2 linked regions of the Oryctolagus cuniculus genome follow. The protein of the gene in region 1 purifies or fractionates together with the protein of each later gene. This does not show direct contact. Links are inferred from orthologs where the notes say so. Each region holds a gene or a part of one and is shown on either strand. Other genes may lie near its edges.

Evidence for each region.
Region 2: the proteins of MED26 (region 1) and POLR2B purify together in Homo sapiens (affinity purification with mass spectrometry; 3 studies listed by BioGRID and IntAct, with this or other methods). This does not show direct contact. The link is inferred for Oryctolagus cuniculus from reciprocal best matches to the Homo sapiens genes MED26 and POLR2B.

The regions. Positions count from the first base shown.
Region 1 is NC_091447.1:64,925,658-64,939,907, reverse strand, and holds the end of MED26 (mediator of RNA polymerase II transcription subunit 26), read left to right. Parts: 5' UTR 1-864; coding exon 865-1,071; intron 1,072-3,284; coding exon 3,285-3,359; intron 3,360-3,595; coding exon 3,596-5,248; 3' UTR 5,249-6,086; downstream 6,087-14,250. Other genes in the region: SLC35E1 (solute carrier family 35 member E1), read left to right, coding at 7,652-8,066, 8,198-8,268, 9,615-9,752, 10,370-10,495, 13,802-14,047, 14,169-14,250. UniProt on the Homo sapiens protein: Component of the Mediator complex, a coactivator involved in the regulated transcription of nearly all RNA polymerase II-dependent genes.
Region 2 is NC_091439.1:107,677,931-107,693,627, forward strand, and holds the start of POLR2B (DNA-directed RNA polymerase II subunit RPB2), read right to left. Parts: upstream 9,615-15,697; 5' UTR 9,444-9,614; coding exon 9,425-9,443; intron 9,038-9,424; exon of another isoform or gene 8,839-9,037; intron 4,948-8,838; coding exon 4,875-4,947; intron 218-4,874; coding exon 67-217; intron 1-66. Other genes in the region: NOA1 (nitric oxide-associated protein 1), read left to right, coding at 10,313-11,387, 12,045-12,209, 12,809-13,014. UniProt on the Homo sapiens protein: Catalytic core component of RNA polymerase II (Pol II), a DNA-dependent RNA polymerase which synthesizes mRNA precursors and many functional non-coding RNAs using the four ribonucleoside triphosphates as substrates.

The sequences.
Region 1 (14,250 bases):
GAGACACGGGCTGGCCGGTGTGTCCTTTCCTGTCGGCCCCGAGTGCTCTCCAGGCCAGGATCCCGTGTGACAGTCCACAGCACCCCTGGGACTGCTGCCCGAGAGCCCTCGGGGTGGGCACCTCAGGGCCCCCTCCCACTCCAGGCCAACATGGTGGTGGTGGTGATCGGGACGGCCCCTTGGTGGAACTGGGCCGGCACCGGCTTCTCTGCTTCGAGGAAAGCAGTGATGTGCATCTGCTCGGGGAGCCCTGACAAACCTAAGAGGCCGCAGTCCCTGCCAACTCCTCCCTTCTCCGAAAGCCACTTGGCAGAGGGTGGGGAGGTGTTTGGCCTGGGAATGAATCCCCAGGAAGAAGCTGCGGGCCCCCAGCGCCCTGTGTGCCGTGGGCGGTGTCGGCAGAGCCGCCTTAGGCTGCCTCGGGGGCAGCGCCTGTGCTGGCATTCGGATCAGGCACATTTCTCCACGGCTCCGGGAGCGACCGAGACCTGGGGCGCGGCAGCAGCGAAGGCTGGTGGGAGACAGAGTGTGTGGGAGCCAGCCCGCGCCCCCCGTGTCTGTCCCCTCTCGGCCTTGCCCTGGTGGTCCGTCCTGGCCGCCAGAGCCCCTGTCAGCCACAGGCTCCCTTCACTGACGGTGGGAGGCCACTGGAGGGGTATGGTGTGGTAGGCGAGGCAGGTTTCCCGTGGCCAGCTCGCCTCTTGCTCCTCAGGGCCCCGCACGGCTGGGTGCTCGGTGTCCCCTGGGACAGAGTGGCCGTGTTGGGCTCTGCAGGGCTGTTGGATCAGGGACCTTCCATGTCCTGCCCGCCTTCGTGGGGGGCCGGCACTGCATTGCTGGGGGTGGGGGCCTGACTGCTCTGGAATGTTCCGCTGGTGTTCAGGGGCACGCACCCCTCTCTACCTGACCTGGCTTTGTAGGTGGAACCCCAGGAGCCTGGCCTCCTCCCCAGCGGGTAGAGAGATCTGCAGAGGGACACGGAGGACATGGCCCGAGGCCCCAGACCTTCACCCCTCGTCCCTGCTGCCCACGCAGCTGCAGGAGGCTCTTAGGCCGGCTGCTGGCTCGGCGGTGAGCTCCAAGGGGCCGCTCGTGCCAGAGCCGGGGGTGGCCCAGGTGTTCCACCTCCTCCCTCCCATCTGGCAGCAGGACGGCGTCTGCCCGAGGACAAGGACACTCTGTGCCTGCCGCTGGGCTCGCTGGGCCTGGGCAGCGTCCCACTCTCCGGGGACTGCTGGTTCAGGAGGACGTAGGGGCCCATGGCGCTAAATATACCAGGCTGAGGTCAGTGGGGTGGAGACGAGGCCATGTGGCAAGCCCAGGAGCCCTGCAGGGACCAGCCACCCCCACCCCCGCCCCTGCCCCCTGCAGGTAAGCACAGGGTGGGCTGTTTCCTACCCACTCTCCCCTCAGGCTGGGCTCTGGCCGTGAACCATGCACTGCGAGGTTGGCCCATTGGCAGGCGGGCAGCAGAGTTGGGGGTGTGGGGGCCGTAGTCACTGTTCTGTGGTCACTCTGGAACTTTAAGCTGGGGGAGGAAGGCGATGGCTGTCGAGATGGGCCTGCAGGTGAGAGGAGCCAGGATGCGCGGGCCGCCAGGGAAGTCCACCCCAGTCCCTCGTCCTGGGCACGTGGCGGCCCGCGCTGGCTTCAGGAGGGTGACACCTGGTGATAGCTAGCAGGAAGTCGGGGACCCCAGAGCCTGCCAGCACTTGGAGCAGGAAGAGGGTCCTGAGAACCCCCTGCCGGCAGGCGCCCTGATCCTCGCCCAGTGAGGCCGCACGCTGCGGAGCCTGGTCGCGCGGTGCGGGTGTGCGCCGGTTAAGGCTCTAATTGGTGAGCAGCAGGAAAGCAGTGCCACAGTCCTGCCTGTCCCGCTCTTGCCCTTGGGCAGTGCACGGGGCCTAGACCACCCCACGATTCCCAGTGGCCCAAAGTCGTGCCTCACACAGGCATCCATCGAAGCCTTGTTTGTGGTGGCAAGTGGGGACGCGCTGTGTCTCCCGACATGAAATAGCATCCCTGCCGCTGGGGGGCGCCACTGAGCCCAGCCAGGGCTGCTTGACCTGAACTTGTGGAGTCAAGCGAGAAAGCAGGGCGCAGAGCCAAGGTGCTTTGGTGGCATTTTGTTTTATTTTTTTAAAGTTAATTTATTTGAAAGGCAGACACACACAGCCACCCACGAGTTCACTCCCCGAGTGGCTGCAGGGCCCCAGCACTAGGGCCGTCCTCCTCTGCTTTCCCGGGCCATAGCAGGGAGCTGGATCAGAAGTGGAGCAGCCGGGACGCGAACCAGCACTCACATGGGCTACACGGCGCCCCCTGTAGGAGTGCTCGATGTGTTCTGGTGCAGACCCGGCAATTGTGCCTTACACGATGTTTTCTAAGAAGCCCAAGTTCTGCTTCCAGCCGGCGCCCACGTGGTCCGTGCTCTTCCCACGCCCACTGCCACGGGGGCTCCCAGAGGTGCCTGTGTGTCCTGACTGCCGAGAAACAGCCTCTGTCCCCCGAGAAGCAGCGCGAGCTTGCCCATTCAGGCCTGGGTCCACGCGGCTGGGGTGGGATTTGGCGCCTGCTGTTTGAGAGCCTGGGGTCTGCCTATCGGCTGACCTGTGTGTCCCGCCCACCTTTGGCGGACGCGAGTGCTGTTGCACTAACCCCCGACCCTCTCTGCCTGGGGCGGGCACTGTGTGCCAGATGGCCTGTGTGCGGCACCTGCACTGTGTGGTCGCGGCCGCTGGCTGCCTGTCACCATCGGTGATGCCCGGAGAGTGCTGGGGACCGGGCGTGGCCACGGCAAGGTCATGGAGGGGCACTGCACCTGCCAGATAAAGCCCTACGGCGCCGCAGCCGCGTGCCCCGGAGCCTCCTGGTACCCGCAGATAGCATTTCTGCCAGCTGGGCTGCGGGTCACCCTCCCGGTTGGCTTCCAGAGCTGCCAGGGGCGCTGCCTGCCTGTCGCCCAGGCTCCTTGTTGGCCTCACTGCTGCCCAGGTGTTCACTGTCCCAGACAGGCGTCACCCTCCACGTGGTGGCGTTCTGCACGCGCACGCTCTGGTGTCTGGGGCCTTAAGTAAGTCAAGTTGCCCGGTGCGTTCTGGTCAGGCAGTGTGAAGCTTTGTGCATTTTATTGGGCAAGTCCTTCGCTCCTGCCCCCATCGCGTGACAGAACAGAGCTCACCTCCAGGACAGGAGCTGGGCATGTCGGGAGGGGCGGCAGGGGCGAGGGCTGCCGCGGACGAGGGGACAAGGGCAGGGCCTGAGCGCTGGTTCTTGTCCCACAGATCCGGAACATGGTGGCGGTGTTGGAAGTCATCTCCAGCCTGGAGAAATACCCCATTACCAAAGAGGCACTGGAGGTGAGTGGGCCCTGCAGGAACGCGGGCGGGAGGGCCCCTGGGGTGTGCGCCACCCACAGCCCCCAGCCTGCTGGTCAGCGCCTCCGACAGTCGCCAGGGAGCTCTCCTGTCCCAGAGCACCGGGAATTCCCGTGGGTTTTCGTCTGCAGAGCTGGCAGACTGGGCCAGTGGGGGAGGGGCGGGTCCTGGCCCCCAGGCGCGTCCCGTCCCCATCACTGTGGCTGCTGTCTCTGCAGGAAACGCGGCTCGGGAAGCTCATCAACGACGTGCGCAAGAAGACCACCAACGAGGAGCTCGCCAAGCGCGCCAAGAAGCTGCTGCGGAGCTGGCAGAAGCTCATCGAGCCCGCGCACCAGAATGAGGCGGCGCTGCGCGGGCTGGCGGGGGCCGCGGGCTCGGCCAACGGGGGCGCGCACCACTGCCGGCCGGAGGCGGGGCCGCCCGGCACGCCCAAGAGCATCCAGGAGCTGAAGAGCCGCAACGACATCCAGCGGCTGCCCGGGCAGCGGCCGGACAGACTGGGCGGCCAGAAGCGCCGGGGGGACCAGCGCGACCTCGGCCACCCCGGGCCGCCCGCCAAGGTCTCCAAAGCCAGCCACGAGCCCCTGCTCCCCAATTCGTCCCCCCTCCCCACCAACGGGATCAGCGGGAGCCCAGAGAGCTTCCCTGGGCCCCCCGACGGTGGCGGCGGTGGCGGTGGCGGCGGCGGGGGGCACGGCCCTGAGAGCGGCCGTGTGGAGCCCACCGAGAATGACACGCACAGCGGCAAGATCCCTGTCCACGCGGTGCGGCCGCACACCAGCTCCCCGGGCCTGGGCCAGCCCCCCGGGCCCTGCCTGCAGACTAAGGCAGCGGTGCTGCAGCAGCTGGACAGGGTGGACGAGACCCCCGGGCCCCCCCACCCCAGGGGGCCCGCGCGCTGCTCCTTCAGCCCCCGGAACTCACGGCACGAGGGCTCCTTTGCCCGGCAGCGGAGCCCGTATGCACCCAAGGGCTCCGTGTCCAGCCCCTCGCCGCGGCTCCAGCCGCTCGACGCCACCCAGGTGCCCTCACCTCTCCCGCTGGCCCAGCCGTCCACGCCCCCCGTGCGGCGGCTGGAGCTGCTGCCCAGTGCCGAGAGCCCGGTGCGCTGGCTGGAGCAGCCCGAGGGCCGCCATCGACTGGCGGCGCCGGGCTGCAAGGCAGGGCTGCCCCCGGCCGGCTTCTCCCCAGACTCCTCCAGGGTGGACAGCGACGCTGCCGCCGCCGGGGGCTCGGACAGCAAAAAGAAGAAAAGGTACCGGCCACGCGACTACACGGTGAACTTGGACGGGCAGGTGGCCGAGGCGGGCGTGAGGCCCGTGCGGTTAAAAGAGCGGAAGCTCACCTTTGACCCCATGACGAGACAGATCAAACCTCTGACCCAGAAAGAGCCAGTGCGGGCGGACAGCCCTGCGCGCACGGAGCAACCGCCCAGGACAGAGCCGGACGCGCCCGAGGCCAAGGCCAGCCTCCAGAGCCCCTTTGAGCAGACGAACTGGAAGGAGCTGTCGGGCAACGAGATCATCCAGTCGTACCTGAGCCGGCAGAGCAGCCTGCTGCTGTCCTCCGGCACGCAGACGCCGGGCGCCCACCACTTCATGTCCAAGTACCTGAAGCAGGAGCAGAGCCGGCTCGGGGCCCGGCGGCCGCACGTGCTGCTGCCGCACAGCCCGCCCGCCGAGCTGCCGGGGCTGAGCCGGGAGCTCACGCAGGACGATCTCGACAGAATCCAGGCCGGCCAGTGGCCGGGGGTGAACGGGTGTCGGGACACACAGGGTAACTGGTATGACTGGACGCAGTGCATATCGCTCGACCCGCACGGCGACGACGGGCGCTTGAACGTTCTGCCTTACGTCTGCCTGGACTGAGCGCCCGCGGCCGCCGGGCGCACTCCCACCTCGCGGCGGGCGGGAGCGGGGGTGGGGGGCAGGAGCCACGCGGGCTTCCGCCCCTTCCCCCCTCCCGGGACTCTCCTCCTTTTGTGAAATGCTGCTACCAGTTTACTAACAAAATTGCGAAGGGAGGGCGGCGCGCACGGACGGCAAAGCGAGTTCGGAACTTGAGCGAACGCGTCAGTCCCCACCCGGGCACCCAGGCAGGCAGGCAGGCAGGCAGGCGGGCGCAGGGCTCCGCGCTGGGGGGAGCAGCAGGAGCACGCGTCTCGGCCCCGCACTCGCTCTTCTGGGGTCTGGGAGCCGGGGGGAGGGGCCGCGGGCGGGCCACGTGGACGACCAGTCTAGCCCACACTCCACGAGCATCCACCCATTTCGATCTGGTTTCGGTTCAAAATCCCCAGTTTTTCAAAGAAATGCTGCAAAAAATTTCAGTTCTCTCGCGTTTATTTTCCATGTGACCACCAGCCAAAACCCGCCCTCCCCGTCCCTGCCCCTCCCCCACACGCCTGGGGAGTTCACCTTCCTAGAGTCCCCCCCAGAACAACACAGATGTCGCCGCGGGTGCTACTGGGGTGCGCGCCGTGCCGCCGGGCGAGGAGCCGTCTGCGCTGACACTCATAACCATTCCTTTAGATTCGTTTGCCTTATGGTTACTCGTCATAAACGCGATTTGCAAAAACAAGGAGCCTTAGTGAATGTACAGAACCCAGACTTCTGCGTCCTCACGCAGAAGGGAGCAACTTTGCTATTTGGTCCAGTAAGTGGACACCTTGTGATATAAATGTGGAAATAAAAAACCCATTTGCACAAACTCGTCTGAGAATCGTTTCCTACTTGGGCCTTCGGACAGCCACACAGCGCCTGCCTGGATTCTGGACGAGCCGGGAGGGCCCGGGCCCCACAGCCCGACGGCAGGCTGGGCTGCGGCCACCTGCCAGCTCTGGAGAGACCCCACAGGCGCCACGTCTGCAGCTCCGGGTTCCAGTGGCCTCGGCCCCTCCCCCCTGCCCGCACCACCACCACCAAATATTTGTTGTTCTAAGAGGCCCAGCCCTTTGGCCTTAGTACCCTGATCACTGAAACAGCTGTCCTGCCTCCATTATAAAGGGGTAATAAGACCACCCCGATGGGCCATCCTGTCCCTGTCTCCCCCACGTCCCGCAGCCGCCCAGAGCCAGCAGGGACTTGGACACACACTGCCCTGTCCAAAACAAGGGTGCAGTGGGGTCGAGTGGCTTTGAGGGCAGGGTGAGGCTGAGCCCTGCACCTGCCAGCCGTGGGCTCGCTCTGGCTCACTCCCTGGAGGTGCGAGAACCAAATGATCCAAGTCCTCTCAAAAACCAGCAAGCCCGTTGGTGGGTGGGCTGCGACTCCCGGCCGCGCTGCGGAGTAGGGTCACTGCTCTCACTCCGTGCACAGTGGGCTCACCCTGGCCAGCTCCGGTGGCCGGCAGGTGCTACCTGCGACACAGGTCGGAGCGCAGGGTCCGTCTCCTTCCCGCAGACCAGGGCTCTGGGACAGGCCGCTGCTTTCCCTTCTCCCCCACCCCGCCCCCGACACACCTGGCGGGACCACCACCCCCGGCTCGGCTCCGAGGACCCAGGAAGCCGCAGGACCCCTGCCTTTGAAATGCAAGCACAGGGTAAGACAAGACCCTGTCCTACGAGCGTGCCCAGTAAGGGGACGCAAGTGAGAAGCGCGTGATTTTTGGAAGAAACGCTGGCACCACCCCCTCTCGCACAGCGCTGGAACCCCCGGGGCCAGGTCGCTTCCCGGTCTGCACTGCCGCCTGTCCGAATACATAGGGACGCCGGCACCTACCGCACAGCGCTCCTGGCATTCGGCGGGACGCGCTGCGGGGCGATAATCTAGCTCAAAGGTCTTTCTCCATAATCCAGCTTGTTTTCCTCCAAAGGTCTTTTCCCTTTGCCCCCGGGGTCCGCCGCGGCCAGCCCATCAGGAACAGGGCTGGGGACAACCATGACCCGCCGAGTGGCGGCCGGCGAGCTCCATCATCCTCACTCACAGGTGACGGCGACGCGGCTGGGTCCTCGCGTTCCCGCTCGACCACCTCGCTCGGGCTCCAGCCCCTGCTCCCCGCAAGCAAACCCAGGCCAGCGCAGGTCCAACTCCTAAGCAGGCCGGCACCCCCACTTCCTTCCGCTTCCGGGACTCGCCCCGCCCCTTCCGGTAGCGCATCCCAATAGCAAGGCGGGGCCTGCACCCGAGACGTGGTGGCTGGCGCGTCCGTCGGCGCGTCCCAGTGACGCAGAGAGCCGGCGGCCAATGGGAGCGGCGCTGGCCGGCGCGCCCGGCCCCGCCTCCGCCCGGCGTCGGGCCGTCGGACGGGCGGGAAGGGGCGGCCGCTCGGGCAGGATGGCGGCGGCGTCGGGCGCGGGCCCCGGCGCGGGCTCGGGGGGCCCGGGCGCGGCGGGCGGCGGCGGCGGCGGCGGCGGGGCGCGCGAGGGCGCGCGCGTGGCGGCGCTGTGCTTGCTGTGGTACGCGCTGAGCGCGGGCGGCAACGTGGTCAACAAGGTGATCCTGAGCGCTTTCCCGTTCCCGGTGACCGTGTCGCTGTGCCACATCCTGGCGCTGTGCGCGGGGCTGCCGCCGCTGCTGCGCGCCTGGCGCGTGCCTCCCGCGCCGCCCGTCTCGGGCCCCGGGCCCGGGCCGCAGCTGCCGCCGCGATTCTACCCGCGCTACGTGCTGCCGCTGGCCTTCGGCAAGTACTTCGCGTCGGTGTCGGCGCACGTCAGCATCTGGAAGGTGCCCGTGTCCTACGCGCACACAGGTGACCGGGGCAGGGGGCGGGGCGGGGGCGACCACCGCGGTCGGGGCGTGCAGGGAGCCGCCCCCACCTGCCCCCGGCTGGGTGGGTGCTTGGGGGCTCGGGCTGAGGGCCCCTCCGCTCTGTCTCCGCAGTCAAGGCCACCATGCCCATCTGGGTGGTCCTGCTGTCGCGGGTCATCATGAAGGAGAAGCAGAGCACCAAGGTGAGGGGCGGGCAGGTGGGGGCCGCTCGGGAGGGACCCAGATGGTGACGTGGTCGGGGCCACGCCGGCTTCCTGTCAAACAAGGAAGTCGGTGCGCCGGGGCCTCCCGCGGCCCTCTTATGGCTTCTCTGCTGGCGGCAGGGGGGCGTGGGGAGGGGCCTGTGGCCCTGGGTGGTCCCTCTGCAGCCGGGCAATGTCTTGCTGTTCTGATTCGCTGCCAACGTAGCTGGCGGCCTGGTCCCCTCCTGATGGGACGCCCCAAGCAGGTGCCCCCCCCATCCCCGGTGGGACCCGAGGCACGGCGGGGTGGTCAGCGAGCTGCCAGGCTGGCCGCGTTTGATGCCTGCAGGGTCTTCGGGCCCCGTGGGTGGCCGGGGTCGGGCCAAGGAGCCGAGGTGCACCTGAGCAGGTGGCTTCTGGCACAGCCCCTGAGTCTGTGGCCGTGGCTGCCGCCGGCGCCAGCCCTGCCCACCCGCTGCCCGCCGTCCTCAAGTGCACGTGGGGTCCCTGGCCCTGTGCCTCTTTCGCAAAATCATCCCAGCAAGAGCTGCGTGTGCTCCCGCTGGGCTCCAGGGTGACACCAGGTGTGACTGGGGGGGGGGGGCAGTGTGCCGCGGCGGCATCACCCAACACCGCGTCACATTTATCGGGTTTCCCACTGCGTGGGGCACCGTACCCCAGCTTGGGCACAGAGCCGGGAACCTCACACGGAGCCGGGCAGCTACTGATCATGTTGTCATAACTCACCTGTGAGGTAGACGGGGGTGTGGCCTCCGTCCTGAGCTGGCGTTTGGTGTCCCAGGCCCTGGCCTTGGTGGGTGCCCCCCACCCCGAGGTGGGCCCCGGGACAGAGGCAGAGGTCCCTGTGCATCCTGCAAGTGCCCCACGCTTTCTGCAAGGCCCCCTGTCAGTCATCCAGCCAGCACTGTTGAACACCTACTGTATACCCTGCCACCAGCTATTGAGTGCCTGCTGTGTAGCCTAAAGTCGTGCGTGGGGTCACGGGCGTGGAGTGACCTAGCAGGCAGTGAACAGTGGGTGGGTGGGTGGGCGGCGCTCTGGGGGGACGCCTGGGCCGAGCAGGGTGGGGGTGCTGGGTCCCAGGAGGTGCCTATGAATGCTGAGCGGCTGAGGTGCCCCGCCAGGGGTAGCTATACGTTGGGAGAGCCCCAAACGCCCCGGACAGAGACATCTGTTAGGTTAGGGCCCAGCAGGAGGCAGAGGCTCTCGATGGGGGTGGGGCTGCGCCCTGGGACACAAGCCCGCTCCCCAGGTTCCCCTGAGAGCCAACAGCTCCTGCCCAGCCGTGTCCTCCGGGCTCAGCAGCGCCCACCCGCCCCCTGCAGGTGTACTTGTCACTCATCCCCATCATCAGTGGCGTCCTGCTGGCCACCGTCACCGAGCTGTCCTTTGACGTGTGGGGGCTCGTCAGCGCCCTCGCCGCCACGCTCTGCTTCTCGCTTCAGAACATCTTCTCCAAAAAGGTATCCGGGATTCCCGGGGGGCTGCCCGGCGGAGGGGGTGCCGGAGACCCGGGCAAGTAGATATGGCGTCCTGTCTGTCTGCTCTTGAGTGCCGTGTCCTCCCGTCCCGAAGCGAGCATAGGCTCGACGTGGGAAGCAGGGGAGTCTCCACGCGGACTCAGACGCTGTGTCGAGCACCGCTTGGTGTCGGGCTCTGACCTGCGGCTGCCCCGGCAGTGCCCACCCGGGAGACCCGGTGCAGGGCTGGGCGTCGCGGCACAGCGGGTGGAGCCACGCACGGCTGGGACCCTGGTGTCCCATGTCAGAGCACCGGCTCCCGCCCCCTGCTCTCACGCACCCTGGGAGGCAGCAGCAAAGGCCCGAGTGCTTGGGTCCCTGCACCCACCCGGGAGACCCGGATGGAGCTCCAGGCCCTGGCCAGGCTGGAGCCAGGAGCCTGGAGCTCAGTTTGGGTCTCCTGTGGGGAGGAGGTGGAGCCCCGGCCACTTAGCACCACCCACTGCTGCCTCCTCTTCCCGGTCCCGCCTTCGCACACGGGCTTGGGCTCGCCGCTCACGCAAGGGTGTCGGGGGGCCGTGGCCGTGGCCGTGGCTCTAGGCGGCCTTGTCCCTCCCCAGGTGCTGAGGGATTCGCGAATCCACCACCTGCGCCTGTTGAACATCCTGGGCTGCCACGCGGTCTTCTTCATGATCCCCACCTGGGTCCTGGTGGACCTCTCTGCTTTCCTGGTCAGCAGCGACCTGGTGAGTGGCCGGCGCGCCGGGGAGGGGCCCTGAAGGGGAGGGGCTGTGCCTGGCCCGGAGGTCCTCTGTCCTCGCTGCCACCTGCGGTGGAGGAAGCGGGACGCGTGCACTTCCTGATAGCAGCCTCACGCGTGTGCTAGGGCTCCAGGGAGAGAGAGCGGCGCTCGGCGGGGTGGCAGTGGGGGCTCCCGCTGCCCCAGTGGTCCTCGTCAGCCCTCACCCTGACCTCTTGAGATCCTGCTGGCCCTGCGCCGCTCGTGTCCTGACAACGTCCCCGTCCACGCCGGGGAGCATGGGACAGGGCGGTTGGCTCTGGCACACAGGCTGGGAAGGCCCCTCCCCACCCCCCCCGCGGGAAGGAGGAGGGTCTCCCTCTTTCCACGGCCCTCCCTCCTGAGCTACCCTCGCACCTGGGCCTCTCGTCCTGTGTCTCCCACATGGATGCACGCAGACCCCGGGGTCGTCAGCTGGCCCCATGCTGGGCTGCGTAACGAGTGGGGGTCCAGTTAGGAGAAGGCCACCCGGTGTCCCCTGCTCACCTCTGGCCTGTGAGGCAGAGGCCAGAGCAGGTGCATGCCAGAGACCCAGGCCGAGCCAGGCGGGGAGGGCCAGGCTGGACAAGTGACTGGGTTTTCAGGGGTGGAGAGAGCACCTGGGACAGCTACTGCAGAAATGAAAACTGGTAGCAGCCAACGGTGAGAAAACCTTTTTTTTTTTTTTTTTTTTTTTGATTTATTATTTATTTGAAAGGCAGAGTTATAGAGAGGGAGGAAAAGGGATTTTATTTGCTGGTTCACTCTCCAAATAGCCTCAACAGCCAGGGCTGGGTCAGACCAAAGCCAGGAGCCAGGAGCTCCCTCCAGGTCTCCCACGTGGGTACAGGGGCCCAGGGACTTGGGCCATCTTCTGCTGCTTTCCCAGGCTGCAGCAGAGAGCTGGATCGGAAGTGGAGCAGCCGGGACTTGAACTTGTGCCTATGTAACATGCCCGTGTTGCAGCTTTGAAGACGGTGCTTGCTTTGCAACCGCAACGCGCAGAACCAGGCCGGGCAGGCTCGTCGGCTGCGCCTGGGAATGCCAGCATTCTTCCTAGGATTAGTGGGGCCCGGCACATCAGGATATGCTGTGCCCAGGACGTGGTCTGGAATGACCCGGCACGTGAGGCAGCAGGAAAATCCCACGTCGCGGAGGAACAGCAGCTGCCAGCCCTGGAATCAGGAGACAGAGACTTGGAGCAGTAACTGCAACCATGTTTCAAGAAGTAAAGGCAAACACTCTTGAAATGAATAAGAAGACATAGGTCAAAGAACCAGCTGGGAGTTTTTAGACAGTTAGCTGTTAGGGTGAGAGAGCTCCCATTCACCAGCAGCAGCCATGGGCAGAGCCGGAGCCAGGAGCTCCCCCGAGGTCTCCCACGCGGGCGCAGGCACCCGACCGCCGGAGCCGGAGCCGGAGCCGGGAGCAGAGCCCAGAGTGAGACCTTTGAAAACAGACGCAGAGAAACGACGCAGCCCGCACCACAGACCAATCCCAGGACAGCGAGCCGAGCCCTGGGACGGCACCTGGGGTGATGAGAGGAGGATGTGGGGCCCGGGGGCTCCCCCGAGGACCGCCCTGTCTGCCAGAGGACGCTCCCCGCAGGGTCGAGAGGCCGGGCGGGCCCCATGCAAGGAAAAACCAAAGATGTCCATGCGCAGATGCGTCGCGGGCAGCGGCACAGGAACGTTCCAGAACACCAGTGCGTTCATCAGAGGGGAGCCCAGCTACATTGTCAGAGCCCTGAAACCAGACCGCCACGCCAGGAGCCGGCGCGAGCACGGGCACATGCCCCAGAAGCAGACAGCGTGGAACGCCGGCCGGACAAAGGCGTGGGCAGCCGCAGCCGGCCGGGCCTCCCTGGTGTCTCCGGGACACCCAGATGCGGCGGCTCTGCAGCCCTGCGCTTCTTGTGTGGTTTTAATGAGGATCTGTTTGTTTATTTGAAAAAGTTAGAAGGAGAAACGAGAGAGAGAGATCTTCCATTTGCCCAGGGACTTGGGCCCAGGCGCGCTGGCAGGGAGCGGGATTGGAGGTGCCGGCGCCATGGGCAGTGGCCCCCTTTTTTTTTTTTTTTTTTTTTTTAAGTACACTTGGAACGTTCACGGAGACAGCCCATATTCTACTACTTAAAGTAAACCTCAACAAATTCCAGCGGTGGGTGGCTGGCGTCGGGCGCAGCCATGGAGATGCACACAGGGCCCTGGCTCCCGCATCAGGGTCCCCGGTTCAAGTCCCCGCTCCTCTGCTTCCGATCCGGCTCCCTGCACATGCGCACCCTGGGAGGCCGCAGTGAGGGCCCCGGTGCTTGGGCCCCTGCACCCACGGGGGAGACCCGGATGGAGCTCCAGGCTCCTGGCTTTGGCCTGGCCCAGCCCTGGCTATTTTGGCCATTTGGGGAGTGAACCAGCAAATGAAAGACCTGTGTGTGTGTGTGTGTGTGTGTGCGCGCACGCGCGTGCGTGTGTCTCTCTAACACTGCCTTTCAAATAAATTAATCTTGGGGAGGAAAAAACATTTAAAAGAAAAAGCCCGGATGGGCTGCCTGTCTCCACCGGGCACAGGGCTGAGGGGTCCTGGTTGGTCGACTCAGGGAGGGACCACCCCCCCAGCCCGAAGGCAGATGCAGGCTGCAGGGTGCCTGGCTCGGGTTTGGGGGTTCAGGTCTTGGCTCACCCCTTCCCTGCCCGCCCTTGTTCCCTAGGCCACTCACTCCCATGGTCCTAGGTTCAGTCCCCTTGCCCAAGGTGGGCATGGCCTGGGGTGTGGCCCCCGGAGAGCAGCCCTCCCCCCACATCTGGGCCTTGGGGCCCCGGGCTGTCCCAGCCCTCCCAGGGCAGTCCCACACAGCCTGGGGCGGGGTCCAGAGCTCAGGCGTCTCCCCGTGACGGCTCCTGCCACGTGTGGCCCCGGGACTGAGCCCCACTGCTTTCCCAGGCGCATTAGCAGGGAGCTGGACTGGACGTGGAGCCGCCGGGGCCCGAACTGGCTGCGCCCAGCCCAGCCCCTGGACAGCACTTGCAAAGCCGGGCTCCCGCTGGAGCCCCAGGGGCGCGGGGATCAGCCCTTCCCGTCCCCCACCCGCAGGAACTGAGGCCCGGGTTCTTGGCGCAGCCGGAGCCGGAGCCGCCTTCACCGTGACCTCCTGGCCTGGGGGACCAGGGTGGGACAGACCCCCGCTGCCTGCGCACGCGCACCCCAGGAGGCGGGCGCGTTGCCCCCTGGGCCTGGCTGTCGCAGGTGCTGACCGCGCCCCGGCCCCACCCCGCAGGCCTCCGTGTCGCAGTGGCCCTGGACGCTGCTGCTGCTGGCCGTGAGCGGCTTCTGCAACTTCGCCCAGAACGTGATCGCCTTCAGCATCCTCAACCTGGTCAGCCCCCTCAGCTACTCGGTGGCCAACGCCACCAAGAGGATCATGGTCATCAGCGTGTCCCTGCTCATGCTGCGCAACCCGGTCACCAGCACCAACGTCCTGGGCATGATGACGGCCATCCTGGGCGTCTTCCTGTACAACAAGGTGAGGCCCGTCCGGGGCGGGGGGGGGGGGGGGGGGCGGGCCCACGGCGGGACGCCGCCTCCAGGAGGGCGGCCGGGCTGCCCCGTCTCCCCGCAGCCTGAGCCGGGCTCTTCTCCCGCAGACCAAGTACGACGCGAACCAGCAGGCCCGGAAGCACCTGCTGCCGGTCAGCGCGGCGGACCTGGGCGGCAAGGAGCGGCACC
Region 2 (15,697 bases), on another chromosome or scaffold:
AAAGGGAACTGAAATTTGAAACCAGTCTTCCTTTTACCTGTGTAACACTGTTAGAAACCATCTTACCGGTTCTTCAACTTCTCCGCTGGCATGCTGGGCTTCAGCTTGCAGATCTATGGGGGGAGCGTCCTCCACAATTCTTTGAACAGACATCTGAATGAACTCATCAAAAGAATCCAGTTGCTGTCTGACCAGACCTTTCTCATCAAAATAGGAACTAGAAAAATAAGAATTTATAATCAGTTGCCACTCTTCTCTAGCCCCCCCTCTCCATTTTTATTATAATTCAAAAAATACTCAAGAAACCAACGCTATATACCAATCATTACACAAGAAACTATGAGATAACTTAAAACGGTATAATGTCGGGAATATTTTCTATATAGAACTTATTGTTTAAAAAAAAAAACTTATAGGCAAAATAATTAAAGCACTATATAAAAAGGAAGCCCTGATTTACAAATATCCTTTATAGACAAATTTCATTCAACCTCTTCAACCTCTTTGAAACTTTTTTTGAAAAAATGTCAGGAGACATCTAAAGAAAAAGGATAGCTAAAGATAACAAGAACTCTAGTCTGAATGAAATGGTGATATCAATTACTAAAATAGAAAATGCAGAACATTATTGGAGCTAGTATTATGGCGTTAGTATGTTAGGCCACCACCTGCAACATCAGCATCCTATATGGTACCAGCTTGCATCCCAGCTCCTCCACTTTCAATCCAGCTCCATGGTTATGGCCTGGGAAAGCAACAACAGCCCAACTGCTTGGGCCCCAGCCACCTACACTGGAGACCTGGATAAAGCTCCTGGCTTCAGCCTGGCCCAACTTTGGCTGCTGCAGCCACCTGGGGAATGAACCAGTGGATGGAAGATCAGTATCTCTCTCTGTAAATTTTTCAAATACGTAAACCTTTTTGAAAAAAAAAAAGTGTTAATTTTAAGTTTAGCTTTATTTTGAGCATGCTGAAGGTGAGATGAGTGTCCATCACTTCAAATGACTGGTGCTAGAAGTGGAGCCCAGGAAAGTCATCAGAGCTGGCAGTGCAGAGGCAACAGAAGCCACATCTTAAGAGAAGGACGGATCATCCAAGAGCAGACTTTACTGCTACAAGACATGGTCAGTTGTTCAGGTGAGGAATGAGCAAGGAGACAGATTGAAGCGCAAGAAGATTCTCAGCGGATCACTCCCCACTACCGCCAGAACAGTTGCACGGCTGGCCATCCCAGGGCTCGAAGAGCTGTGAGCTCTAGCGCAACCCTAAGGACGGGAATATCTCATCACCCCTAGCAGTAGGAACTGCCTCATCACCACAGCTCCAGGGCTCAGCTCCTCTAGACTGTGACCCTGCCATCTTGTACCTAGGAGACTTTCTTAGCTTCTACTTCCCTCTCCCTATTAACCGCTGACACCCTTCCCCCCCAACCATCAACATTCTGGGACAATTTACACAGCCCAGCTAATCAACAGCCAATTTTTGGCATTACCAGGTCACCTCATAGGTCACCAGCAGGCCTACAAATTGTCTAGCTGTGGACCAGGGCCCACTCTGATCCATTCAAATATGGCCACCAACATTAGAGGTCAGGTCCCATGGTAAAGAACACAGCATATATCCATCCTTATGTAAGATAAAGCCTAAAGAATGGCTGTGGCAATTTCTTTCAGAAGGGATTGTGAACAAGAAATAAAATTTTCATGATCATTTGGGTCAGGAATTGATACATAAACACATGAAAGGCACTGCCTGTAAAATAAACAGCAAGAGTTTTTTACACACAACTTAAGATGAAAAATCTTCACAGAACTTATATACAAGTTTCATTACCCCAAGAAGCTGAACCACAGCTACTTTCTGCCAAACCATTGAAACAGCATTGCAATAGAATACTATCTGTAAACATCTAAGCTACATAACTTTTACATTTATGATATCTACTATTAGGCTTATTTCACCAGAAATCATCTTACTTTTTTAAAAAAGATTTATTTGTTAGAATTACAGACAGAGAGATCCACCTTCCATCTGCTGGTTCACTCCCTAAATGGCTGCAATGACCGGAGCTGGGCCGATCTAAAGTCAGGAACCAGGAGCCAGGAGCTTCCTCAGAATCTCCTATGTGGGTGCAGCATCCTATCCACTTGGGCCATCTGCTGCTGCTTTCCCAGGCACACTAGCAGGGAGCTGGATCAGAAGTACAGCAGCCAGGACTCAAACTGGAGCCCAACATGGAATGCCAGCACTACAGACAGCGGCTTAATGCATTATGCCACAGTGCCGAAACCAGGAATCATCTTACCTCAGTTACTTGTGATGTTAAGTAATAGCACATTCACACAACTATGTGAAGATTACTTGATATAAGGGATGGGCTTTCAGCACAGCAGTTCAGTCACTGCTTAGGACGCCTGTGTCCCATATTGGCACACCCGGTTTGAATTTAGCTCTTCCACTTCTGACTCAGCTTCCTGCTAATGCACACCCTGAGGCAGCAGACGGGTCCAGCAGATGAGTCCTCACTACTCATGTGGGAGACTTGGAATTGAGTTCCAGGCTCCTTGCTTTGGCATGGCCCAGCCCTACCTATTGCAAGGATTTAGGGAATGAATCAGTGGTCGGAAGATCTCTCTGTCTCTCCGTGTATATGTGTGTGTGCATTTCAATCTTACAAATAAAATAACTTTTTTAAAAAAAGATCATGGCCGGCGCCGTGGCTCAATAGGCTAATCTTAATCCTCCACCTTGCGGCGCCGGCACACCGGGTTCTAGTCCCGGTAGGGCGCCGGATTCTGTCCCGGTTGCCCCTCTTCCAGGCCAGCTCTCTGCTATGGCCTGGGACTGCAGTGGAGGATGGCCCAAGTACTTGGGCTCTGCTCCCGCATGGGAGACCAGAAGAAGCACCTGGCTCCTGGCTTCGGATAGGCACGATACGCCGGACCGCGGCGCGCTGGCCGCAGTGGCCATTGGAGGCTGAACCAACGGCAAAAAGGAGGACCTTTCTCTGTCTCTCTCTCTCCCTGTCCACTCTGCCTGTCAAAAAAAAAAAAAAAAAAAAAAATCATTTGGGGAACCAGCATTGTAGAACAGCAAGCTGACCTGCCATCTGCAATGCCAGCATCCCACATGGGCAGCAGTCTGAGTCCCAGGTATTCTGTTCCACTTTCAATCCAGCTCCCTACTGATGTGTCTAGAAAGCAAAGGAAGATGACCCAAGTACTTGGGCACCTGCACTTGCACAGGATACTGGATGAAGCTCCTGGCTTCAGCCTGGACAAGCCCCAAGCATTGTGGCCATTTGGGGAGTAGATGGAAGATTTCTGTCTCTCCCTCTCTCTGTAACTCTTTCAAATACACTGAGAAAAAAAAAAAACAATCATTTGGGACCAGTGTTGTAGCATAGTAGGTTAAGTCATTGCCCGCAATGCCAGCAAAAAACTGTCAGCCTGAATCCCGGCTGCTCCACTTCTGATCCAGCTCCCTGCTAATGTGCCTGGGAAGGCAGCGGAGGATGGCCCAATAACTTGGGCCCCTACCAACCACGTCACGGACACCCAGATGGAGTTCCTGGCTCCTGGCTACAGCAAGGCCCAGCTCCTGGCTGTTGCAGGCATTTGCAAAGTGAACCAGCAGGTAGAGGATCTCTTTTTGTCTAATTCTGCCTTTCAAATAAATACATAAATCTTTAAAAGGGAGTGGGGCAGTGTTGTGGTACAGCAGGTAAAGTGGCCACCTGCAACAACAGCATCTCATATGGGTGCTGGTTCATGTTCTGGCTGCTCCACTTCCAATCCAGCTCCCTATTCATGGCTTGGGAAACAGCAGAAGATGGCCCAGGTGCTTGGGCCCCTGCATCCACAAGGGAAATCCGGAAGAAGCTCCTGGCTCCTGGCCAGCCTGGCCCAGCATTGGCTGTTGCAGCCATCTGGGGAGTGAACCAGCAGATGGAAGATCAGTTGATCTCTCTATGTAACTCCTTCAAAAAATTAAATAAATCTTAAAAAAAAAAAAAAAAAAAAGGCATTCAATTATACTCCAGACACGTGTGGCAGAACGTCAAAAGCATGTGTTTTTTAAAGATTTATTTATTTATTTCAAAGTCAGAGTTACACAGAGGGAAAGAGACAGACAGGGACAGAGAGTGGCAGAGGGAAAGAGAGATCTGCTATCTGCTGGTTCACCCCTAAAATGGCTGCAATGCCAAGGATGGGCCAGGCCAAAGCCAGGACCATGAACTTCATCCAGGTCTCCCACATGGGCAGCAGGGGCCCAGGCACTCCAGTCATCTTCTGCTGCATTTCCCAGGCCATTAGCAAGAATGCCAGATAGGAAGTCTAGCAGCCAAAACACAAACTGGAGCCTACATGGGGCAGGAACTGTGGAACAGTCGGTTAATCTGCCTGCAGTGCTGGCATCCCATATGGGTGTTGGTTCTAGTCCTGGCTGCTCCTCTTCCGATCCAGCTCTCTGCTATGGCCTGGGAAAGCAGTGGAAGATGGCCCAAGTCCTTGGGCCCCTGCACCTGCATGGGAGACCTGGCTCTTGGCTTCAGATCAGCTCAGCTCCAGCCACTGCTGTTACCCACATGGGAGACCCAGATGGAGTTCCTGGCTCCTAGTTTCAGCCTGGCCCAGCACCTGCTATCACAGGCATTTGGGAAGTAGACAAACAAATGAAAGATATCTCTCTCTCTCTCTCTCTCTCTCGCTGTCTCTCCCTCTCTCTCCCTCTCTCCAACACGCCTTCAATTAAAAAAAAAAAACTTAAAAAAAGATTTATGCAGCATATTCATATGGAATTTCTATTTATCAAGATCAGAATAAGCAGGAAATCCCCTAATCTGTTGCAGTGCCTTTGGTCTAAAAGGTTACCTGATGACAATCCAGCACGCTTCTTGCCACAAATCTGGAGTGATTTCATCATCATCCTCATCATATTGCATATCTGCAAAAACAGAAACAGTGACTTCAAGTGCAGTAAGATTCCATTCAGAAGAGCTTGCACCTATACTGAAAGCAGAAACAAATCTACTCTCTAACGAATAAAAAGCAATTCTCTTACCCCACTTTTCTAAAATTTCAGTAAATTAATAAAATGCCTATATCACATAAATATTTTTTTCCAACATACAAAGAGGTTTTATTATAAAGGTTCAGTGCAAACTGTGTGGCTCTGTAAGTTTTCCATTTTCTCGAGAAAGTCCATAAAGTTTTCATTTATAGCTAATCAAGATGATAACTAGTAGCAAGCTCATAGTCCTCCAATCAACAAGCTCCTTGGGGACTGGAGTCAGACAGCAGGGTCATGGGGTAGAGGTAGAAAAGCTTCCAACATCGGGTCAAAACCCTAAAACAGTGGTCTGTTATAGCAACATATCGTTATGCAGACAGACATGACTGCAGGGCTCATCTTTATCTGCCATCCCACATGTTCATCTACAAAGTGATCTTGATAAGCCAACTATCACAACAGAGTGGTCTGTGCATGCACCCCTTGAATCTGGGTGGATTTTTTACTCTCCTGTGACCAAAAGAAGTGATGATGCATGATTTTAGAAGCTAGATCAGAAAAAGCAATACAGGGGCCGGTGCTGTGGTACAGCAGGTTAGCGCCCTGGCCTGAAGCGCTAGCATCCTACATGGGCGCTGGTTCTAGTCCCGGCTGCTCCACTTCCAATCCAGCTCTCTGCTATGGCCTGGGATAGCGGCAGAAGATGGCCCGAGTGCTTGGGCCCCTGTACCCACGTGGGAGACCCAGAAGAAGCTCCTGGCTCCTGGCTTCGGATCATCCCAGCTCCGGCTGTTGCGGCCAACTGGGGAGTGAACCAGTGGATGGAAGACCTCTCTCTCTGCCTCTCCTCTCTCTGTGTAACTCTCTCAAGTAAAAATAAATAAATAATCTTTAAAAAAAAAGAAAAGAAAAGAAAAGAAAAAGCAATACAGCTTCCACCCTGTTTGCTACAACACTTGTTTCTGGAACCCTGAGCTGCCAATAAAAAGTCCTACTACCACTCTCAGGCTGCAACTCTGTGAGAAAGCCCAAACCTTAAGGAACGGATACTTACAGATGTTACAGATGCTCTAATAGCAATCCCAGGCCTCGAGTCCTCCCAGGCCAGGTGCCAAACACGTGAATAAACACTCCAGATCCTCCAGTCCCCAGCCTTCATCCTCCCCAGACCACACACACTGAGGTGACAAGTCCTGCATACCAGGCCGTGTCTAAATTCCCAGTCCACAGCATCCATAAATATAGTAATTTTTAAAACATTTATTTGAAAGTCAGAGTTACAGAGAGAGAGGAAGACAGAGACAGATCTTCACTCCTCAGATGACCACAAGGGCCAACACTGGGCCTAAAAGCTGAGCTGGGCAGAGACCTCATGTTACGTGAACAGGAGTAAACCAGGCAAAGAAGGTAAGGCTAGGAAGAGTAGAGAAAGTATGAGGGGCACCAAGACACAGCTAAGAGTAGCAGGTTCTCATGTTCTGCAGCTCAGAGCATGACTACCACTCAAAACAGATCAGGGGCTGGGGCTGTGCCGTAGCAGGTAAAGCTACCGCCTGCAGTCCCGGCATCCTATATGGGCGCTGGTTCGAGACCCGGCTGCTCCACTTCCAATCCAGCTCTCTGCTATGGCCTGGGAAAGCAGTAGAAGATGGCCCAAGTCCTTGGACCCCTGCACCTGCCTGGAAGACTCAGAAGAAGCTCCAGCCATTGCAGCCATCTAGGGAGTGAACCATTGGATGGAAGACCTCTCTCTCTGCCTCTCCTTCTCTCTCTGTGTAACTCTTTCAAGTGAATAAATAAATCTTTTTTAAAAATTATATATTGTATACTACATAAAGAACTCAACGAGGGGCAGGTGTGTGGCCTGGGGTAAGATGCTGGTTAGAACACCTGCATCCTACATCAGAGTACCTGGGCTCAGTCCCTGGCCCTGACCCCTAACTCCAGCTTCCTACTAATGCACATCCTGGAAGGCAGCAGTGATGGCTCAACTGACTGAGTTAATGTCACTCATGTAGAAAGTCTATCACTGGGCCGGCGCCGCCGTGGCTCACTAGGCTAATCCTCCGCCTTGCGGCGCCGGCACACCGGGTTCTAGTCCTGGTCGGGGCGCCGGATTCTGTCCCAGTTGCCCCTCCTCCAGACCAGCTCTCTGCTGTGGCCAGGGAGTGCAGTGGAGGATGGCCCAAGTCCTTGGGCCCTGCACCCCATGGGAGACCAGGAGAAGCACCTGGCTCCTGCCATTGGATCAGCGCGGTGCGCCGGCCGCAGCGCGCCAGCCGCGGCAGCCATTGGAGGGTGAACCATCGGCAAAAGGTAGACCTTTCTCTCTGTCTCTCTCACGGTCCACTCTGCCTGTTAAAAAAAAAAAAAAAATTAAATAAACAGGACAGAGGATCTGATAGGTTCTAAGCATAAGGACATGGAAATGCTAACTGCTTGACTATCAGTTTACACTACATATATGTGTTGAAACACTGCTTGGCACTGCACACAATGTACAAATATTATGTGTTAATCAAAATACTTTTAAATAAAAATACATGACGCCCAGGTTTCTGGTTCCCACAAAAGAGAAGGGTGGTACCATGCTCTAAGACAGACAACCCAGAAGCCGATGGCTTTGGAAGTGCAGATGATGATGGGAGCGGGGGTGCATAAAAAACATGGTGAGCTCAGCCTGGGCAGTGACAATTTACAGAAGCCCAGAGACACTTCAGTTAGAGACGCAGGACATCTGAGCTGGGAATGTGTGCGTATGTATTGAGACGTCATCCACATACACAGTAACTGAAGCCACGGAAAACGCGAACAGCAGGAGTGAATGAGAAGGGACAAAGTCTGATAGGTGTAAGAATCAAGTGACGGTGCTAAGGCTGAGGAGATGGGCTGCCAAAAGGAACTCACCCATGATGCTAAATACCGCAGGGCCTGCCTGAGGCTTACACAGTGCTACCGGCTGTATCAGTGGGAAGGGCATCTTAATGAAGCAGCACTGAGATCAGATTAGAATGTGCTGAAAACCTGAGAGGCCACAAACTCTTCTGAGAACCCCGGTCGCCCATGGAAGGAGAAAGGTCAGATATTCCCAGGAAAGAAACAACTGAGCAGAGTTTAACTTCTTTGCAGGTGCCAAGAGAGATCTGACACTTTCACATGGCAACATCCGAAAGGAGCAGCCTAATTGATGAGGGCGTATCTAACAGACTTCAGAACAGGCAGGAATGGAACATGGACCACTCTTCTCTTCCACAGGTACTTTATACGTTGCTAATGAGAATGTAAATTCGCAGTTAATAGCACAGTGGTCACTTGGCACCATCCTGCAAAATGTTAAATGAATATACCGTTTGACCTGACAATTCTCTATTTAGCGATTTTTTTTTTAATATTTTTTATTTACTTAAAAGGCAGTTCCAGAAAGAGAAAGGGCTTCCATCCGCTGGTTCACTCCCCCAATGGCTGCAGCAGCCGGAGCTGGGCAGGCCCGGGGCCAGGAGCCTCTTACGGGTCTCCCGCGCGGATGCAGGAGCCCAGGCACTGGGCCGTCCTCCACTGCCCTCCCAGGAAAAGACGAGAATGATGCAAATGCCCATCCCTAAGAGACTGGCTGAGTCGCACTACATCTAAACAAGCGAGCAGTGACGATGGACTCCACACACTGGCAGGAAAGCCCACTACATAATACTATGTAAGAAATAGAAATACAGGAGAGCACGAATGGTGCTTTTTGTCTGAAAATCGGGGAACCACACAATCCCATTTACGCTCACTCACACGTACGTAAAGAAACCTTGGAGCAGGAGAATCTGTACCAGCAGCTACCTGCGTGGACGCGGTTCAAACCGGACAGCTGGTGGGTCCGATGAGCCCCGGCGCTGAGACGCTAAGCCTGCGCTTCTGCTTCCTCCGAGAGGCAGCGGAGGCGAGCGGGTGGGATGCCAGGGGGGCTACGGGACTGGGAGCCAGAACACCTCTCTGGCGGCCGCGCGTCCCTCTGGGGCGCAGTCAGTTCCAAGGACACCTTCGAGACAATTCCCCGAGGTTTAGGACTGCACGGAGGAGGGCCACCCGCGGCCGCCGTGCTCCCAGGGCCCAGCACACAACCTAACGGATGGCCAGCGCCACTCCGTCCATCGGTGGCCCGGGGACCCGAGGACCGTCGGGACGCCCCCGAGCCGGAACAACGCCATCTGCCTACGGTTCCGCACGCCACTCCACCACGGGACGAACACAGCCGGCCAGGAGCCTGCACGCGCGCATCCCCCGCGCCGCCACTTCCCGCACGCCCAGCTCGGACCGCGGCCCGGGGGTGGCGGGGGTACACCGCGGGGGTCTCCGGGCGGCGGACGCAAAGCCGTCCAGCTCCCCCATTTTCCCGCCGCGGAGTCTGCGTTGCATGGTCACCTACCCTCGTCCGCGTCGTACATGTTGGCAAACGGTCCAGGAGATCCTAACCCTCAAAAAGAAAAACCACTGAGACAGAAAACCGCGTAGCAGCCGCCACAGGGCCGCAGGCAGAGACGAAGCAACTTCCGGTTCCGGTGTTCCCACAATTCTCTGCGTCCCCGAAGGCCCGCCCCACCGTCGCCGAGGTGGGATCTGCGCCTGCGCCAGTTGAAGCATAGGGCGGGCTGGGCTCGGGGTCGCTCGGGCGCGGCTGAGCCGGGGCGCGACCAGTCCGAGGCGGAGGGGCGGCTCTACAGCTGCTTCACGTTGAACAAACCCCGCCTGAAAAAAATCCAAGTGAATTTGTTAGCGGTTCTGGCCGTGGCGTGAGCTCGCAGGTTTAAGGCTGTATTGTTTGCACTCCAAAGACCAGGAAGCCACAAAACTAAAAGGGATTAAGTGCGACTTGTGCTGGCCGTAGCGCCTTGAGAAAGCTTGAAGAAAGATTTATTTATTTATTTGAGAGGCAGATTTACAACGAGGCAGAGAGGTCCTCCGACCGCTAGTTCACTCCCCCAGGTGGCCGCAACAACCGCGGAGCTGAAGCCAGGAACTTCCTCCCGGTCCCCGACGTGGGTGCAGGGGCCTCAAGGACTTGGGCCATCTTCTGCTGCCTTCCCGAGGCCCCAGCAGAGAGCCGGGTTGCAAGTGCAGCAGCCGGGACTCGAACCTGTGCCCTCAAGGGAGGCTGATACCGCGGCTTTCCCGCTACGCTTTCATCGCGATAACTCGCGGGATCTCGAGGTGGAAGGAAGCCGCACCTCCGGGGTTTGGGGCAGAACGGGCGCCTGGGGCCCCACTGCGCGTGCTCGGTGGTGGCTCCGCCCCCTCGCGGCGGGCCGCGATCCCCATGCTGCCCGCACGCCTAGCGGGGAGGCTGCTGGGCCCCGTGGTGCGGTGGTCCGCGCCTGCGGTGCGGCTGCTGCGGACGGGATGCGCGGCCGCCGCCGCCTCCCAGCCCCCGTCGGGCCTGCGGCGGGCGCTCCCTCAAGGCCCCGCCGCGCCCGGGGACGACACCGAGGAGCGTTTCCTGTTCCCCGAGTACACCCCGGAGCCGGAGCCCCCGCCGACGCCTGAGGAGCTGCTGCGGGCGCTGCGGGAGCGGGAGCAGGAGCAGGAGGAGCAGGCGCGGCGCCGGGCGGAGCGGCGGCAGGCGCGGGCCAGCCTCCGCGCGCCCCCGGCCGCGGGCCGCCCGGACCCGGCGGTGCCGCCCAGCGGCCTGCCCTGCTCGGGCTGCGGGGCGGAGCTCCACTGCCGGGACCCCGGCGTGCCCGGCTACCTGCCCAGCGAGAAGTTCGCCCGCGCCGCGCAGGACGGCCAGCTGGCGCGCGCCGTGTGCCAGCGCTGCTGGCTGCTGGTGCACCACCGGCGCGCCCTGCGGCTGCGCGTGAGCCGCGCGCAGTACCTGCAGCAGGTGAGCGCGGCGCTGCGGCGGCCCGGGCCCGCGCTGGTGCTCTACCTGCTGGACCTGCTGGACCTGCCCGACCCGCTGCTGCGCCACCTCCCCGCGCTGGTGGGCCCCAAGCAGCTGATCGTGCTGGGGAACAAGGTGGACCTGCTGCCGCAGGACGCGCCTGACTACCGGCGGCGGCTCCGCCAGCGGCTGTGGGACGAGTGCGTGCGCGCCGGGCTGCTGCCGGCGCCGGGCCACCGAGGGCCGCAGCCCGGCGCCGGCGGGGACGAGGAGCAGAGCGCGTCCCGCACGGTGGTCAGGGACGTGCGGCTGGTCAGCGCCAAGACCGGCTATGGGGTGGAGGAGCTGATCTCGGCGCTGCAGCGCGCCTGGCGCTACCGCGGCGACGTCTACCTGGTGGGCGCCACCAACGCCGGCAAGTCCACGCTGTTCAACACGCTGCTGGAGTCCGACTACTGCACCGCCAAGGGCGCCGAGGCCATCGACAAGGCCACCATCTCGCCGTGGCCGGGTGAGTGCGAGAAGCGGGCGCACCGTGCCCGCCGCCGGGCGCCTTCCCTGGAACCTTGCAGCCCTGCGGGGGTCTCGCGCCTCCCTGGCCGGAACAGAGCCGAAGCCCCTGCGCTCTGGCCGTGTCCCTGGAGCTGGCTTCTTCGTAGGGTCCTCTGGCTTTGACTCCCGGCGTGAGGCCAGCGGGTGCTCCACGCACAACACGTGAATAACCCGTAGTGCAGAGCGTGCGTGGGGAAGAAAGGGCGGGTGGTGACTTGGTAAGAAACTTGCGTGCTTGGAAAATGGGTCCCTGTGTCTGTGACCCTGTTTGTGCTGGACTTGGGAGAGCGCACTGCGACAGCCCTGTGTCCCCTTGAAGCCAGACTTCACCCTTGCTTAGTGAGCTGGTCTTCTGCCTTGCGCTGGAGTTGAATTCTCCGCAGTTGCTTTTTACCTGGTGATGTTGAAAACAGCAATCAGACATGCACACGGATTTTGGATTCAAGTCCTGGTTAAGCTTGCGAGCCAATCGGCTTATTTACGACTCCTCCGTGAAGTGGGACTATTTCTAGGGGGCTAGCGTGGAGGTTGCGTGAGAGAAAGCAGCGTACCCCACAACAGCGCGTATCCTCAGAAGCGCTCATTCCTTCCCCTTATTCCCTTCCCCGTGTTCCAGGTACTACGTTAAACCTTCTCAAGTTCCCCATCTGCAACCCAACTCCCTACAGAATGTTTGAAAGACAAAAAAGACTTAAAGAGGACGCGGCCAAAGCTGAAGAGGAGCTCAGTGAGCAGGAACAGAATCGGCTCCGGCTCCTGAAAAGACGTGGATACGTAGTGGGTAAGCGTCCTGTGGGGAAAGCCCTTGTTGGTCCCATGCCGGAATTCTCCCCGAAATTCAGGGGCCTGGGGCCAGCCGCTTGTTGCGGGGAGAGGCTGCCTTGCTTGGTCTCTTTAAAGGCAAGGCTGCCTCCATCTGGAACCCCAGACCGATACTCGTGGTAAATGTTGGTGACTCCGTGCAGCGGCTGCCCTGGGGACAGGCGTTTCATGCAGTAGTTACGACGGCCATGTCCCCTATCAGAATGCCTCTGTTCAACTCCTGTGTGCAAGCTCGCGCTCCGGCTTCCCGGGAGGCAGCAGGTGATGTCCTGGGTATTTGGGTCCCTGCCACCCTCCTGGGAGACCCAGCCTGAGTTCCCGGCTTGGCTGCTGCGCTTCCATCTGGCCCGGCTGTTGAGTTCATTTAGGAAGTGAATCAGCAGGAAGATGATTTCTCGGTCTGTTTTCCAAATAGAATTAGTAAGTTTGCTTTTAATTTGTTCCTACAAATCAAAGAGACCTTGTCTCACTTCTGTACACCTAAGTTAGCCTTCGTAAGTTGTCTGGAGTCAAAAGCTTTGACGGACTGACTGATGACCTCGGTATAATGTGTTCTAGGAAGAGTTGGAAGAACATTCTTGTATTCAAAGGAGCAGAAGGGTGAAGCTGCCTTTGAGTTTGATGCGGATTCACTGGCCTTTGACATGGAAAATGAACCTGTGCTGACTCCAGACAAATCCACCAAGCGAGTGGAATTGACTCCACAGGACGTGAAAGATGCCCACTGGTTCTATGACACCCCTGGGATTTCAAAAGAAAATTGTGTATGTATCTGGTCTCTTCCTCCACACTTACTTTTTTTTTTTTATTTTAATATTTACTTATTTGAAAGGCAGAGTTACAGACACAGAGAGAGAAACAGAGAGAGATCCTCCATGGGCTGGTTCACTCCCCAGATGGCCGCCACAGCCAGAGCTGGGCCGGTCTGAAGCCAGGAGCCAGGAGCTTCCTCTGGGTCTCTGGGTTCAGAGCCCGAGCACCTGGGCCATCCTCTGCTGCCTTTTCAGGCACATCAGCAGGAAGCTGGATCGGAAGTGGAGCAGCTGGGACTCAAACGGCACCCATAGGGCATGCCCGCGTCACAGGCGGCGGCTTTACCAGCTACCCCACAGCCCTGGCCCCCACGTTTACTTTCATTAGCACAGGCGCTGTGTTTCGGGCAGAGAGCAGGAGGAGAGATGCACTTGCACTTGCGATTCAGTTCTGGTTCACTGGTAAAACAGGCCAGGGAGGCATCTGTCCTCTAGTTCTCCCTTCGTTTGGGGACCTCGTGGCTGACAACCCACTTGTGGTGCTGTACAGACTCCTAGCTGTTGAGGCTGACAGGCACCACTGCAGTGCAGCCCGCTCGTCCGTGCCTGAGTTCCTAACACGCTGTAGCCCTCATAAGGCCTTCTGGCTGAACGCAAGGCAGGAGTCACTCACGGGGAGCAGGCGCAGTGTCCCCTCAGCTCCCAAGGTAAACACTGCTCTTCAGCTGAGCTGAGCCGTCACCCAGTAACTGGTACCCTTTGGTCCTCGGGGCTGCATGCACCAACTTCCCTGGGCCTGGAAATACTTGGAAGTCTCTCTCTTCCTCCTGTGTCCCTGCCTCTTCTCTTTCACTATTTCATCCAACAAACATCGACTGTCCGGCGGCGTAATCCAGAACATGAGACGGGCAGCGCAGCAGCACAGGCTCGCCACAGAATTGTTGTTTGTTTGGTTTTTTTTTTTTTCTTAAGATTTTATTTATTTATTTGAGAGGTAGGATTACAAAGAGAAAGGTCTTCCATCCACTGGTTCACTCCCCAAATGACCACAACGGCTAGAGCTGAGCCGATCTGAAGCCAGGAGCTTCTTCCAGGTCTCCCATGTGGGCACAGGGGCCCAAGGACTTGGACCATGTTCCACTGCTTTCCCAGGCCATTAGCAGAGAGCTGGATCGGAAAAGGAGCAGCCGGGGCTCGAACCCCAGGCTGTATGGGATGCTGGTGCTGTAGGCAGAGGCTTAACCGGCCCCCAGGCCCACACTTTATTTTTAATTTTATTTATTGATTTTTAGGACAGTTGCAGGATCTCACGGGTCATTTGAATTTTTGTCTTGTTCATTTCACCCCATACCTGACTCTTACGTGTTCATTCGGTCTCACAGCTGCTTCTCTTACTTGTAGTTTTGGTCTCTGTCCAGGTCATTGATGGACTCAGGTGTGCGGCCACGATAGGCTGTCACGCAGTCCATCCGCCGCTTCCTCTGCAGCTGGTGCCTGAGCAGTCCCCGTCTCCTCCTGACGTCCGTATCTCCCTGTGAGACAGCACAGCTTTCTTGGGTACTCTTCTTGCCTTTGCCTCACCAGCGTCACTTCCAGTTTCACTGTCAGATGCATTTTTTTTCGTGCCCCTGTTATACATGCTGCAGACTTTTTCTTTCTGCATGGTTGCCCTCCTGGAAACACACCTGGGGCTCAGTCTCTTTTTGCCCAGCAGTAAGTGCCTGGACGGCTGCTTCAGGATATCCCATCGCTTCAGTGCCAACTCCTCCTTCCCTTTCAGCCTGTTAGCCCAGGCATAGCAGTTGCTTTAGTCACGAACCTTGCTGGGGGCCCCAGTGCTGTGGCGCAGCAGGCTAAGCCTCCACCTACAGCTCTGGCATCCCATATGGGCGCCGGTTCCTGTCCCGGCTGCTCCTCTTCTGATCCAGCTCTCTGCTATGGCCTGGGAAAGCAGTAGAAGATGGCCCAAGTGCTTGGGCCCCTGCACCCGTGTGGGAGATCCAGAGGAAGCTCCTGGCTCCTGGCTCCGGATCTGCGCAGCTCCAGCTGTTGCAGCCATCTGGGGAGTGAACACTGCATGGAAGGCATTTCTCTGTCTCTCTTCTTCTCAAATAAGTTAAATATTTTTTTTAAAGGGCCTGTTGAGAAATCTTTCGCAACATATTCTAGCCAACAGAATGACAGCTTCAAGTTTTTAGATATAAAACCACTCAGCACTGGCAGTTTTATTTCTGGGTCAGTTTACAGACAAACTTTACATGCGTTTGATGACGTAGACCACCATTCCTCAAGCTGTTCTCACAAAGAACTCGAGTAAGAAAGTTTTGGTGCTACAAGTGGCTTACACAGTGCCTTTTCAAACAAATAATGAGAAAAATTTATAGCCGTCTTATTTTTTTTTATAAGCTTCTCTATCATATTTTTGTTTCCTCAGTTTTTTTCTAATTGATTTATTTATTTGAAAGGCACACAGAGCAGTCTTCCATTGGCTGGTTCACTCCCCAAATGCCTTTGATAGCCAGGCCTGGGCCAGGCCAAAGCTGAGAGCCGAGAACTCAGTCCGGGTCTCCCACCTGGGTGGCAAGGACCCGAGCCCTTGAGCCATCACTGCTGCTTCCCAGGAAGTTGGAATCTGTCCAGAGCAGGGCTGGGACAGGAACCCGGCATTCCATATGGAGTGCAGGTGTCTTAACCG